Xenopus tropicalis: one gene and its partner. The protein of the gene in region 2 binds, or shares a complex with, the protein of the main gene of each other region. Links are inferred from orthologs where the notes say so. Each region holds a gene or a part of one and is shown on either strand. Other genes may lie near its edges. The genes, in order: cacng1 and cacnb1.

Region 1 (7,255 bases), about 41 Mb from region 2:
CCTAGTACCTCCTACCTTACCACCCTAGTTACCCACCCACCCTAGTACCCACCTACCATACCCACCCTAGTGCCCTTCTACCTTACCCACCCTAGTGCCCTCCTACCTACCCACCCTAGTGCCTTTCCTACCTTACCCCCCTATACCACCTAGTGCCCTCCTACCTTACCCACCCTAGTGCCCTCCTACCTTACCCACCCTAGTGCCCTCCTACCTTACCCACCCTTAGTGCCCTCCTACCTTACCCACCCTAGTGCCCTCCTACCTTACCCACCCTAGTGCCCACCTACCTTACCCACCCTAGTGCCCACCTACCTTACCCACCCTAGTGCCCTCCTACCTTACCCACCCTAGTGCCCACCTACCTTACCCACCCTAGTGCCCACCTACCTTACCCACCCTAGTGCCCTCCTACCTTACCCACCCTAGTGCCCTCCTACCTTACCCACCCTAGTGCCCACCTACCTTACCCACCCTAGTGCCCACCTACCTTACCCACCCTAGTACCCACCTACCTTCTCTTAGTGCTGCTTTTCTCCTCACATAGAGGTAACGCCAGTGGGAGTTTAAGCATTGGAAGGGTTAAAGGTGAGGGAAAGGTGAGTCAGGCCCCGCCCCCCGCCAGGTGAGATTAATCAGTGGGGGGCAAATCTCTCCAACGCCGGAACGTGAGTCCCACCCCCGGGGCTAAAGGGCTAAACCATTAGATAACTGTGGTGCCCCTGGAAATTGCCCTGTGCAGGGGTGAGAGAGAAGGGCCAGAGGGGAAGGTGGGGCAGATACAAAGTTGCACCAGGGGCAGTTACTCGGCAACGACTGACCCCCCCCCCCCACCAACCTGCCCCCGCCCCCCCCGTCAGAAGCGCAGAGGCAAAGTGCAGGTACCGTCTCTTTTCTACTTCTGCCCCCTACAGGGGCAATAGGCAATACTGTAATTGTATAACTGCTGGTGCCCCCCTGGGGCAATACTCTGGTTGTATAACTGCTGGTGCCCCCCTGGGGCAATACTCTGGTTGTATAACTGCTGGTGCCCCCCTGGGGCAATACTCTGGTTGTATAACTCCTGGTGCCCCCCTGGGGCAATACTCTGATTGTATAACTGCTGGTGCCCCCCTGAGGCAATACTCTGGTTGTATAACTCCTGGTGCCCCCCTGGGGCAATACTCTGGTTGTATAACTCCTGGTGCCCCATGTGGGGCAATACTCTGATTGTATAACTGCTGGTGCCCCCCTGGGGCAATACTCTGGTTGTATAACTCCTGGTGCCCCATGTGGGGCAATACTCTGGTTGTATAACTCCTGGTGCCCCCCTGGGGCAATACTCTGGTTGTATAACTGCTGGTGCCCCCCTGGGGCAATACTCTGGTTGTATAACTCCTGGTGCCCCATGTGGGGCAATACTCTGATTGTATAACTGCTGGTGCCCCCCTGGGGCAATACTCTGGTTGTATAACTCCTGGTGCCCCCCTGAGGCAATACTCTGGTTGTATAACTCCTGGTGCCCCCCTGGGGCAATACTCTGGTTGTATAACTGCTGGTGCCCCCCTGGGGCAATACTCTGGTTGTATAACTCCTGGTGCCCCATGTGGGGCAATACTCTGATTGTATAACTGCTGGTGCCCCCCTGGGGCAATACTCTGGTTGTATAACTCCTGGTGCCCCATGTGGGGCAATACTCTGATTGTATAACTGCTGGTGCCCCCCTGGGGCAATACTCTGGTTGTATAACTCCTGGTGCCCCCCTGGGGCAATGCTCTGGTTGTATAACTGCTGGTGCCCCCCTGGGGCAATACTCTGGTTGTATAACTCCTGGTGCCCCATGTGGGGCAATACTCTGATTGTATAACTCCTGGTGCCCCATGTGGGGCAATACTCTGATTGTATAACTGCTGGTGCCCCTTCAGGGGTAATGTATTTATAGTCCTTCTGGTAACCGCTGGTAGCAATAGTGTAACTATAACCGCTGGCGCCCCCTGTAGGTGTATTACTGTAATTGTAGAACCCCCGGTGCCCCCTGTAGGTGTATTACTGTAATTGTAGAACCCCCGTGCCCCCTGTAGGTGTATTACTGTAATTGTAGAACCCCCGGTGCCCCCTGTAGGTGTATTACTGTAATTGTAGAACCCCCGGTGCCCCCTGTAGGTGTATTACTGTAATTGTAGAACCCCCGTGCCCCCTGTAGGTGTATTACTGTAATTGTAGAACCCCCGGTGCCCCCTGTAGGTGTATTACTGTAATTGTAGAACCCCCGGTGCCCCCTGTAGGTGTATTACTGTAATTGTAGAACCCCCGGTGCCCCCTGTAGGTGTATTACTGTAATTGTAGAACCCCCGGTGCCCCCTGTAGGTGTATTACTGTAATTGTAGAACCCCCGGTGCCCCCTGTAGGTGTATTACTGTAATTGTAGAACCCCCGGTGCCCCCTGTAGGTGTATTACTGTAATTGTAGAACCCCCGGTGCCCCCTGTAGGTGTATTACTGTAATTGTAGAACCCCCGGTGCCCCCTGTAGGTGTATTACTGTAATTGTAGAACCCCCGGTGCCCCCTGTAGGTGTATTTTTATGATACAGTTGGTGTACCTGGTGCTGTCATTGCAGTCACATATGGAGAAGGTATGTCGCTTGGCCAATCAGAGATGCCATTCAGCCCCCACCCCAGAGATGATTTCCAGGAGGACTGGGCACTATGGCAGCTCCTGGCACCCTTGGGCACTATGGCAGCTCCTGGCACCCTTGGGCACTATGGCAGCTCCTGGCACCCTTGGGCACTATGGCAGCTCCCTTTCCATAGAAATAGGCAAATGCACAGATGATAAAGTAAAACTTGGTTCTATTTACCCTTGAAATTTAAAGACATTCAGTGATTAGATAAACACCACAAAGGCCAAAGTCACACATTATTTCTCATATCTTCCCACCCCCTGAGCCCCCCGACTCTGCAGCTGTAACGACGCCCTGTGAGTCCCTCAGTCTCCCTATGGGTCGGTGTCTATTCCTGTAATGGGGGGGGGGGCACAGGCCGGGGGACGCTATTTAAAGCCAGTGAAATAATCCAGTAAATAAAGGTGCTGGGGGCAGGGAGAGAATCCCAGCTGCTGTAGGGGGGCTGCCCCCAAATCCCCCTCCCACTAGTTACCCAGAGGGGTTCCATACAGGGGGTGGGGTCCCCCAAATCCCCCTCCCACTAGTTACCCAGAGGGGTTCCATACAGGGGGTGGGGTCCCCCAAATCCCCCTCCCACTAGTTACCCAGAGGGGTTCCATACAGGGGGTGGGGTCCCCCAAATCCCCCTCCCACTAGTTACCCAGAGGGGTTCCATACAGGGGGTGTGGTCCCCCAAATCCCCCTCCCACTAGTTACCCAGAGGGGTTCCATACAGGGGGTGGGGGCCCCCAAATCCCCCTCCCACTAGTTACACACCCAGAGGGGTTCCATACAGGGGGTGGGGGCCCAAAATGAATTTGCTGTGGGGCCCAGTAATTCCTGGTTACGCCATTGGCCAAGCCTTGGGGAGGAGCTTACACTATACAGGAAAGAAGCGAGATATTGGGGTGCGCCACCCCCTCTGCCCTCACTCGCCCATTGAGTTCAGTCAGTGAATGTCGGGGGTCCATCTCCGGTCCGTGACCCCCCGGAATCTCCCCTCACATGTCGGGCTCCGCGTCCATACAGGTCTCCCAGGGGTTCCTGGGCATGCGCGGCAGGGAGATGAGCACCAGGGCGACGCCGCACACGAACAGCAGCACGAAGGCGGCGCAGGCGCAGGCGAAGGACCACGAATAATAATACTCGATCCAGACCGTCTCCTTACTGTCTATCATCCGGTGCACCGACTGTCTGATCACTTCCGCCGAGATAATCATGCACAGCCCTGCAACGGCAAGCCGGGGGTTAATCTAATGTTTCTTAGATGGGAATTCAGCTGTTTAACTGGATGTATTGCATTGGCTGAGCACAAACCCCTCCCCCTGTGAGCTGCCATCATAGAGTTCTAGTCCCACCCACTGCTTGGGTCACAGACTCCCTGCCCCTCCCCCTATAAACTGTCATCAGAGGGCTCTAGTCCCACCCACTGCTTGTGTCACAGACTCCCTGCCCCTCCCCCTATAAACTGCCATCAGAGGGCGCTAGTCCCACCCACTGCTTGGGTCACAGACTCCCTGCCCCTCCCCCTATAAACTGTCATCAGAGGGCTCTAGTCCCACCCACTGCTTGGGTCACAGACTCCCTGCCCCTCCCCCTATAAACTGCCATCAGAGGGCTCTAGTCCCACCCACTGCTTGAGTCACAGACTCCCTGCCCCTCCCCCTATAAACTGCCATCAGAGGGCGCTAGTCCCACCCACTGCTTGTGTCACAGACTCCCTGCCCCTCCCCCTATAAACTGCCATCAGAGGGCTCTAGTCCCACCCACTGCTTGGGTCACAGACTCCCTGCCCCTCCCCCTATAAACTGTCATCAGAGGGCTCTAGTCCCACCCACTGCTTGGGTCACAGACTCCCTGCCCCTCCCCCTATAAACTGTCATCAGAGGGCTCTAGTCCCACCCACTGCTTGGGTCACAGACTCCCTGCCCCTCCCCCTATAAACTGTCATCAGAGGGCTCTAGTCCCACCCACTGCTTGGGTCACAGACTCCCTGCCCCTCCCCCTATAAACTGTCATCAGAGGGCTCTAGTCCCACCCACTGCTTGGGTCACAGACTCCCTGCCCCTCCCCCTATAAACTGCCATCAGAGGGCTCTAGTCCCACCCACTGCTTGTGTCACAGACTCCCTGCCCCTCCCCCTATAAACTGTCATCAGAGGGCTCTAGTCCCACCCACTGCTTGGGTCACAGACTCCCTGCCCCTCCCCCTATAAACTGCCATCAGAGGGCGCTAGTCCCACCCACTGCTTGTGTCACAGACTCCCTGCCCCTCCCCCTATAAACTGCCATCAGAGGGCGCTAGTCCCACCCACTGCTTGAGTCACAGACTCCCTGCCCCTCCCCCTTATAAGCTGCCATCAGAGGGCTCTAGTCCCACCCACTGCTTGAGTCACAGACTCCCTGCCCCTCCCCCTGTAGGCTGCTATGAGTGGGTGCCCTAGCCCCCTTGCCTTGTTGGCTTACAATGTTGGCGGATTTGTTGCCTCCCTGATTTGCCCCTGAGTGTGGCAGAGACATGGGGGTTTCTAGGGGCACTGGGGGTACAAACCTGCAAAGATGAAGAAGAGGCCGGCGGGTTTGAGCAGGTAGTCGAGCTTCTCCTTGAAGGACAGCAGGGTGCACACTGTGCCCATAGTCATGAACCCCACTCCGATGATGGCGATGGCGGCTGCCGAGATGCTGTACTCTGGGGGGGGGCAAGATCAGGGGGTGAGAGGGCAGAGTGGAGGCTTCTGGGACATACACAACGAGTAACGAGGGTTGGGGGGGCAGGGACATTGGGGAGACAAACGCACAGTGATGTCACAATGGGCCCCTCACCTTTCTGCGTCGTCACCTCGAAAATATCCGCGTTCTCCCCTGAAGTGAAATGCTTGAAGTAGGTGCAGCTGTGCTCTGGGGGGGCAACACAACGGGGGTCAGATCACTCTGCGCGGCCATCTGGTTGCTAAGGTAACTGTGCTTAGCAACCAGGTACCAGTTTGGCAGTCGGACTGAACTTGATGCAAGTGATTATTTTATCATCAGGTCTTTGCCTTGTAGCTATCGACAGCCAATAGGAACAACTGCTGTTATCTCTGGGGTTCTGGGGATTCCCTGCACCCTGATTGTTAGAGATTTGGCTCCACCCCCCTGACCTTATTCCCATGGGATTCCCTGCACCGATTATTAGAGATTTGGCTCCACCCCCCTGACCATATTCCCTTGGCCATGTGGCACTCACATGGTTAAACTGCTCCCACGTTCAGCTTTGTATCTGTCTATCGGTATTGATCCCAATTGGTTATTGATTGTGCTGTAGGGTGAGTGTGAGAGTGGGGTGACTCTGTGGGGGGCAATTCCTTATTGTATGTGGGTCCCTGTGTAAGGGGGTCTTTCTTGGCAGGGGATTGGCTGCCATGTTACTTTACTTGGCGTTCTTGCCCTACTGTCTCCCTCTTGCCCTACTGTCTCCCTCTTGCCCTACTGTCTCCCTCTTGCCCTACTGTCTCCCTCTTGCCCTACTGTCTCCATCTTGCCCTACTGTCCCCATCTTGCCCTACTGTCTCCATCTTGTCCTACTGTCTCCCTCTTGCCCTACTGTCCCCATCTTGCCCTACTGTCTCCATCTTGCCCTACTGTCTCCATCTTGTCCTACTGTCCCCATCTTGTCCTACTGTCTCCATCTTGCCCTACTGTCCCCATCTTGTCCTACTGTCTCCATCTTGTCCTACTGTCCCCATCTTGTCCTACTGTCCCCATCTTGTCCTACTGTCCCCATCTTGTCCTACTGTCCCCATCTTGCCCTACTGTCTCCATCTTGTCCTACTGTCCCCATCTTGTCCTACTGTCTCCATCTTGCCCTACTGTCTCCATCTTGCCCTACTGTCTCCATCTTGTCCTACTGTCCCCATCTTGTCCTACTGTCCCCATCTTGTCCTACTGTCTCCATCTTGCCCTACTGTCCCCATCTTGCCCTACTGTCTCCATCTTGCCCTGCTGTCTCCATCTTGTCCTACTGTCCCCATCTTGTCCTACTGTCTCCATCTTGTCCTACTGTCCCCATCTTGTCCTACTGTCTCCATCTTGCCCTACTGTCTCCATCTTGCCCTACTGTCTCCATCTTGTCCTACTGTCCCCATCTTGTCCTACTGTCCCCATCTTGTCCTACTGTCTCCATCTTGCCCTACTGTCCCCATCTTGCCCTACTGTCCCCATCTTGTCCTACTGTCCCCATCTTGCCCTACTGTCTCCATCTTGCCCTACTGTCCCCATCTTGTCCTACTGTCCCCATCTTGCCCTACTGTCTCCATCTTGTCCTACTGTCCCCATCTTGTCCTACTGTCCCCATCTTGTCCTACTGTCTCCATCTTGCCCTACTGTCCCCATCTTGTCCTACTGTCTCCATCTTGTCCTACTGTCCCCATCTTGTCCTACTGTCCCCATCTTGTCCTACTGTCTCCATCTTGCCCTACTGTCTCCATCTTGCCCTACTGTCTCCATCTTGTCCTACTGTCCCCATCTTGTCCTACTGTCCCCATCTTGTCCTACTGTCTCCATCTTGCCCTACTGTCCCCATCTTGCCCTACTGTCTCCATCTTGCCCTACTGTCCCCATCTTGCCTTACTGTCC
Region 2 (7,532 bases):
CCAATAAATAGTGATTGCCTATGGCACCTTACAGCCCCCCTGGCATTCCCAGTACCCAGAGGCACAAACAGCCCCCCCCCAGCCCAATAAATAGTGACTGTCTATGGCATCTTACAGCAGCCCCTCTGGCATTTGCCAGAACCCACAGATTGCCAGTCCGGGCCTGTATCTATCCTTCCCTCCTTCATAGTGGAGAATTATCAGTTCTGGACTGGGATACAAAATAGGCCCTGGCATTCCCAGTACCCAGAGGCCCAAACAGCCCCCCAGCCCAATAAATAGTGACTGCCTGTGGCACCTTACAGCCCCCCTGGCATTCCCAGTACCCAGAGGCCCAAACAGCCCCCCAGCAGCCCAATAAATAGTGACTGTCTGTGGCACCTTACAGCCCCCCTGGCATTCCCAGTACCCAGAGGCACAAACAGCCCCCCCAGCCCAATAAATAGTGACTGCCTATGGCATCTTACAGCAGCCCCTCTGGCATTTGCCAGAACCCACAGATTGCCAGTCTGGGCCTGGGTGAAACAAACAAAGCCACATACCAGACCAGGATATATGTGTGCAGTCCAATCAAGAAGTAACCAACTCCTCACATTTCACAAACTCACAAAACACAAACTACCTATCATACACACCCAAACACCATTATATATATGTATACCCCACATAGCATATGTACAGAAGCGGAAGCAATGGCAGACCCCCCCACACACACTACACACACAACAGCTGGGACTGTGTGACAGCCTTCTAACCCCCACACACACACTAGTGCACCATGATATATGAATACATTCTACCAGCTGTGACTACTACCCCCCTCCCCCACCACAAAACCTTGATGTATGTACACAGCCCAACTAGAAGCAGTGATCACCTCTCCCCCACCCCACAGCAACCTTCCTTCCACCAACACACTTCTACACCATTGTATATGATAACACAATCAATAGTAGTGCTCTACATGGAAATCATGATGTATTAACAAGGTAACACTAGCAGCGGGGATAGCTGTCACCTCTATGCACACACCTTATGGAACCATGCAATATCGGCAACATATACCTGCAGCTGCATGATAACCATACTAACTTTTGAGACCTTATTTTATGTTACTATTTAGTGGGATTAGGAATTTTGGCTGAGAAAAATCCAGGACTGGATCATTTTCACCATCATGACACCGTGTTGTCAATTGTGAGTGGGTGCTGCCATTCTGGGCTGCTGTACCACTTCCCTCACACAGCAGCCCTATACAGTTTACATTGCAGATTTCCTGACCAACCAGTTACATTTGGATTCAGCAGTTGTCAGACATAGAAGCACCATTATTTCACTCGGCAAGAGAAGTTATTTTTGTTCAACCTTCTGCCACTCTGCCACTCTGCCACATACACCATAATATCCACACATGTCAACCAGCAGCAGAATTATCTAGAGCTCTATCTGGGGGTGCAATTAGTCTGACTGCAGAGGCTCTGCAAAGCCTGGGGACTCTGTTTTTCCATGGGCCCCATCACCACTAAAGACACCCCATCCGTCCATACACACACTCATCAACACTGCCCCCAAGTCACATATTGCTGCAACAATAGAAGCAGCACATAGCACCTTCCTGCCCTATGTAGTATGTATAGCCCAAACACATTGGTGACAGTCTCTCCTACTCACTATTAGACTACACATATATCACAAACAGCAGCAGTAGCAAAATTGTGCACCATGCACCCACATCCAGTCAATGGCAGTGATATCCTCTATACAATGTACTCACAACCAGGCCCAGACTGTGGGTTCTGGCAAATGCCAGAGAGGCTGCTGTAAGATGCCATAGACAGTCACTATTTATTGGGCTGCTGGGGGGCTGTTTGAGCCTCATTGTACCTGAAATGCCAGGGCCTGTTTAACTCCCAGTCCGGGCTTGCACCCAACTATTTGATAAGCACAGAATATCCGACTGGAAGTATAACCTTGTTATGAAACACACTTCTACACCATGACATATGTACACTGTACAACTTCCTGGGTACAAAACCTTACACAGTGATATATGGAAAATCAGCAGTAATGGTAACCTACCCCTGTGCCCACAAAATAAGATATACATACAGTACAACATTTTGCTCTCTCACACAAACACACTACTACACCGTAAAATATTTGGTGTGCAAGCAGCAGGTGTGACAACCCATGTATAAAATAATAAATATACTTCCATATGTACACATGCCTGTGTCTGGTATCATTTTTTCCCTTAAGGCTTGGGCTGCTGGCACTCATTACAGAAGTTACCCTAACACATACAGGCCCAGACTGGCAATCTGTGGGTTCAGGCAAATGCCAGAGGGGCTGCTGTAAGATGCCACAGACAGTCACTATTTATTGGGCTGCTGGGGGGCTGTTTCGGCCTCAGTGTACTTGAAATGCCAGGGCCTATTTTGAATCACAGTCCAGGTCTGAACACATACAATACCATTCAGTAAGGCACCAGCACAGTCATATAGAGCAGCCTGACATACGTGTATATCATGTCATGTATGTGCTATAAATATACATGGAAGAAGCTGTAACACCGTCTTTGTTTTTTTTCCAACTTGTATTCACTCTCCTCTTTCTTGCCTCAACCCCCCCCCCCTTTTATCTATCTTCTCTCTCATTCTTTGCACTCTCCAATCTCCCTCCCTTGCAGGCAGTTAATTAGCGTTTGTCATTTCCATTTCCTGACGTAGGAGCATCTCTTCCCTGGCTCTGGTTGCCACGGTAACCAGGACCGGGGCCTAACGAGGCCTGTGTGCTCTTCCTCACACACACACACACGCCAGGCCTGTAGCACAGAACAGCACTGAGCATGACTCTCACCTGCCTCACAAAGCTGTTGGAGGTGGTATCAGAGCTGGTGCTGCCATCTGAACGCTTAAAACGACTTTTCCTCTTGGCATATTTGGCCTGGGAAATAAAGAAGTGAAGGGAGGGGTTAGGAATGGGGGGAACAGAAAAAAGAAAAGGGAGGCATAAAGGAGAATAGAACAGTCAACATATGTTTTCTATTATTATACGTCCTATAACTTTACCCTTCTGACCCACAAAGCAATTTCCTACGTCAGGTACATACACATCTTACTGCACCGTGTAATCCCTCCCTGTAACAATTGTTCCCCTTATAATTCCTTATTTCCCTCTACATGAGGGGCGCAGCTACAGGGGCTGTAACCCGGTCATGGGGCACTGAGGGGACCCCTAACCCCAGAGAAATAAATCTTTTTTCTCCTCAGAAGCAAAACACAGGGTGATATGAAGTGACAGTCTGTGCAGGCATAGAATTACCTGGGTGAAGAGGTAGAATTAAAAGTCTTTGTGGACATAGATGTTTGGGTGTGGTATAGAGGTGGCCCTGAACCATTAGCAATGCCCCTGTGTTACACACCATTAACTTAAATAACCTCATAGAGATTTCTGCCATTTCTATGTGGTACTTAGTTTAAGTGTGGAGGAAACAATAGGAATATCCAGCAGATACCCCCTGTATCCATGACTGGGAAGATGGAATGGGCAGACCCGAGGCACAGTGATTGCTAGACATAAAGGCTACATATTAGTAACTTGCACCCCGGGCTGTGTTTCCCTGCTCCCAACCAGCTGTTTCCTTTTGCATTTGCCCCTGCCGCTTCCTGCCCATCTAGCCTTCTATTTCCCATCTTATTCCCCTATAGCTCTCTCTGTCTTTCTTTTCCATGCAGCTGTGCCTCTCGACACTCTCACTATCCTTTGTGACTGTCTCCCTTTCACTGCAAGTCTGTCTCTGTGTCACAGTTAACCTGCAGCTTTCTCCCTCGCGCCTCCATTTGTGTCTATGTTCTCAACCTATACAGGTCCTGTGTGTGTCTATCTATCTATCTATCTATCTATCTATATTGGACTGTTTTATTATACAGATACATATAGCCTGATCTTTCAATTATCACAAATATAATAATAATCTCTCTGTGTATTAGCATAGCCAGCCATCAATGTATGCACCCCCCCCCCATGTATATGTCTCACCTGTAGGCTGTGCCCCTCTAACACATCCATCTGGATCTCCTGTGTGGAGCTGGACGGGGTCCTGGCCATCCTGTTCTGCTGGACCATTGGTGTGTCTCCCCCCACATATTCCCCAAATCACACTGCACTCATGACATCCAGATCCAGGACTGCAAGGGAGCCAGGAGAGAGAGGAGGAAATAAGGAGGGGGAGAAGGGCAGAACTGGGGAGGGGAGAAGAGAGACAGGAGGCAAGGGGCAGGGAAAGGGATGGAGAGAGACAGGAGGATGGGAGAGGTACAGAGAGGAGGAGAGTGAGGAGTAAAGAGGTGGAGCAAGTCAGAGACACAAGAGGTGATTTAACGGACTGGGAGTCAGGCTCAGTACCATATGTGCCAGGGGAGAACATAGAAAAGGAACATGGCACGGGAATCTAGAGGGTATAAGATGAGAAGAGAGCAGTGCATTGGAGAGAGTGAGAGAGAGAGGGGGGCAGGCAGGCAGATAGCTGGAAGAGATGGGAAAGGAGGGGGCAGCAGGAGGTAGGAACAATGATGGCAGACAACTGACTTCTTCCTAGCAACACTACCCACAGCAGATCTCCCTGATGCATCCTAGCACACAAACAGGCTACAGCACTGACTGATCGGCACTAATGCAATAAGTTTCCACATCAGCACTCGTACCTATATGCCTACGGAGCATCTCCATACACAGCACAGGGTATTATTATAAAAAGAATATAAAAAGCCAGGAGGTTTGCTTGTTACTTGCTGTGTGCATAAAGAGAGAGGATTATCATTGTTAAGGTCTGCTATTTGTAGGACCCAAAAGGATAGCAGAGAAAACGTAAAGAAGCTTAAAGCAGTGGTTCACATTCAAGTTAACTTTTAGTATGTTAGAAAATGGCCTAGTCTTAGGAACTTTTTAATTGGTCTTCATTTTTATTTTGAATTATTCTCTTTTGACTCTTTCCAACTATTTTAAATGGGGCGTCACTGCCCCTGGTAGTAGAAAAAAACAATTGCTCTGTGAGGCTACATTTTTATTGTTACTTTTTATTACTTATATTTCTATTTAGGCACTCCTCTATTTATATTCCTGTCTCACTTTCAAACCACTGCCTGGTTGCTAGGTTAAATTTGACCATAGAACCCAATAGCTCCTGAAATTCCAAATTGGAGAGTTGCTGATCAAAAAAGCTAAATAAATCAAAACAAGACCAAATTGCAATTTATCTCAAAATAGCACTCTCTACATCAGGGCTCCCCAACCTTTCTTACTTGTGAGCCACAGTCAAACGTAAAAAGACTTGGAGAGCAACACAGGCATCAGAAAAGTTCATGGAGGTGCCAAATAAGGGCTGTGATTGGCTATTAGGCAGCCTCTATGAACACTATCAGCTTACAGGGGCTTTATTTGGTAGGAAATCTTGTTTTTATTCAACCAAAACTTGCCCCCAAGTCAGGAATTCAAAAATAACTCCCTGGTTTTGGGGCACTGAGAGCAACATCCAAGGGGTTGGTGAGTAACATGTTGCCCCCGAATCACTGGTTGGGGATCGCTGCCCTACATCATACTAACAATGAATTTAAAATTGAACATACCCTTTATTATCCCTCCCACAGATTTCATCTTCTTTAGAAATAGGTTGCCATTGTAGTGTATATATGTTTACAATGTTTTAAAGACACTGATCCTCATTTCCCAGAAGAGCTTACAATCTAAGGTCCCTAGCACACATGCACTAGAGTTAGTTTCATTAGGAGCCAACAAACCTGCCTGTATGTATTTGGAGTGGCTGAGGACACAGGAATACTTAAAGAAAACTCAGGGAGACCCTACTTGGAATCAAACTCAGGACCCTTGGGTTAGTAAGGCTGATAGCTGCTGTTAGGTGTGGTGTGGTGCCAGGTGTGGCATTTTGACTACTGCAATCCTGAACAGTTACTCTAAGCTCAGTGTGTGTGAAAGTGGACAAAATGCTGTAGGCCATTGGCTTTATATTAGTGCTCTCTAACCTGTAGCCTTTTAAAGAATTCTGTAAATCATACATCATGGCCAACCAGGGTAAATAGTGCCATGTGTAAAATACAGTGGGTATACCACTAAAATTTTGTAGTGTTCAAGCCCCCCTTGGCAGTCAAATGTTTAACAAAATGTGCAAAGTTTGCCACTGACCTAGTAACCCATAGCAACCAATTAGTAAGTACTACGACTGCACCTATTTAAAAGCAAATATCTTATTGGTTGCTATGATTTACTGTACCTGGGCAAGCGTTATGCCTTTTATTACATATGGGGGTTTATTTAGGGTTCCCCTTAGCTCGCAATTACAGATAGAGAAAATCAGTTTTATATTAGCCTCAACACCCCCCCCCCCCCCACCCAAGGTCCCATCCCTGACCTGCCCATGCCTCATCCCTCTTTCTATGTTGGGCTCCCTTTTATCAATGGGGCAACGGTCCTGATTGGACCCATTGGTATCTGACACTGGTTTTACCTCTAATCTCAACCTAACCGATCATAGATATACCTATGAGACCAAATATTCATGCTCCCCAAACCTCATTTGAACTAACCCTCAAGCCCAACCCCTCTTGTGAGTACTCCATACTTTGAGAGCCACTGCTTTTGTGATCTTATAACTCCTCCAAACAAAACCTGACTATATCTTATCTTATCTTACCAAGGCCAACTCTAATGTGTTTAAGAAGCTTTATGAGTGTTTTGAAAATGCAACAGTTTTCTGAATTAGAGGTCAGGCCCAGATCTGTGCATTCTGTGGTGAGTTTCTTTATGAAAACATTGTTCATCTTTTTCACTTGTAAATGCATTTGGCAGCTTTGAGGTAGTGAACGCCATTAGAACTTGTGTCAAAACACGCTCCTTGCACTTCTGAACAGTTGCGCTCTGCGTCGCTCAGACCTTCCTGTGTTCCAATCTAAATGATGCTGCACCTATTCACACAGGGGAACCTTATGCCCAGGACGTGGCCCCTTTGCGCCAAGTGCAAATAGCCAAAGCACACTTGTGCCTAAAGAATTGGGTGCAGACGCTACTTGCATTCTGAACACCAGAAATGACCACTGTGTTTCCCCTTTTACATTGTGGACAAAAAAACCATGGCGATTGTGCTGTCATCATTCAATATTTGTTTACACTGATCCCTGATGGGCCATAAACAGCACAAGGAATCCCAATACGACTGTCCAGATACAACATAAGTGATCTGAGGAACCACACAGGAAAAGGCACCCACTACTGCAGATTCTCTTAATGCCTATAAGAGGGGCCTGGATGAGTTCTTGAACAAGCATAGTATCCAAGGCTATTGTGATACTAATATCTACAGTTAGTAGATAATGACTACTGTTTTCCAATGGACTTGAGTCATGAAGCTGCCTCCTCCAGCCTGGCATGGATACACTGCATTTCCCTAACAAGCTGCTGCAGCACTTAATGTCATTGCTCTCCCCCAGCATCCCAGTACATAGCAGCCAGTGCTCCCA

Evidence for each region.
Region 1: cacnb1 (region 2) and cacng1 share a complex: the UniProt entries of both Homo sapiens proteins name them as parts of the calcium channel complex. The link is inferred for Xenopus tropicalis from reciprocal best matches to the Homo sapiens genes CACNB1 and CACNG1.

Annotation. Positions count from the first base shown.
Region 1 is NC_030686.2:51,107,245-51,114,499, reverse strand, and holds the end of cacng1 (voltage-dependent calcium channel gamma-1 subunit), read right to left. Parts: intron 5,540-7,255; coding exon 5,465-5,539; intron 5,331-5,464; coding exon 5,193-5,330; intron 3,871-5,192; coding exon 3,644-3,870; 3' UTR 2,813-3,643; downstream 1-2,812. UniProt on the Homo sapiens protein: Regulatory subunit of the voltage-gated calcium channel that gives rise to L-type calcium currents in skeletal muscle. Regulates channel inactivation kinetics.
Region 2 is NC_030686.2:10,379,560-10,387,091, reverse strand, and holds the start of cacnb1 (voltage-dependent L-type calcium channel subunit beta-1), read right to left. Parts: upstream 4,163-7,532; 5' UTR 4,129-4,162; coding exon 4,042-4,128; intron 2,947-4,041; coding exon 2,860-2,946; intron 1-2,859. UniProt on the Homo sapiens protein: Regulatory subunit of L-type calcium channels. Regulates the activity of L-type calcium channels that contain CACNA1A as pore-forming subunit.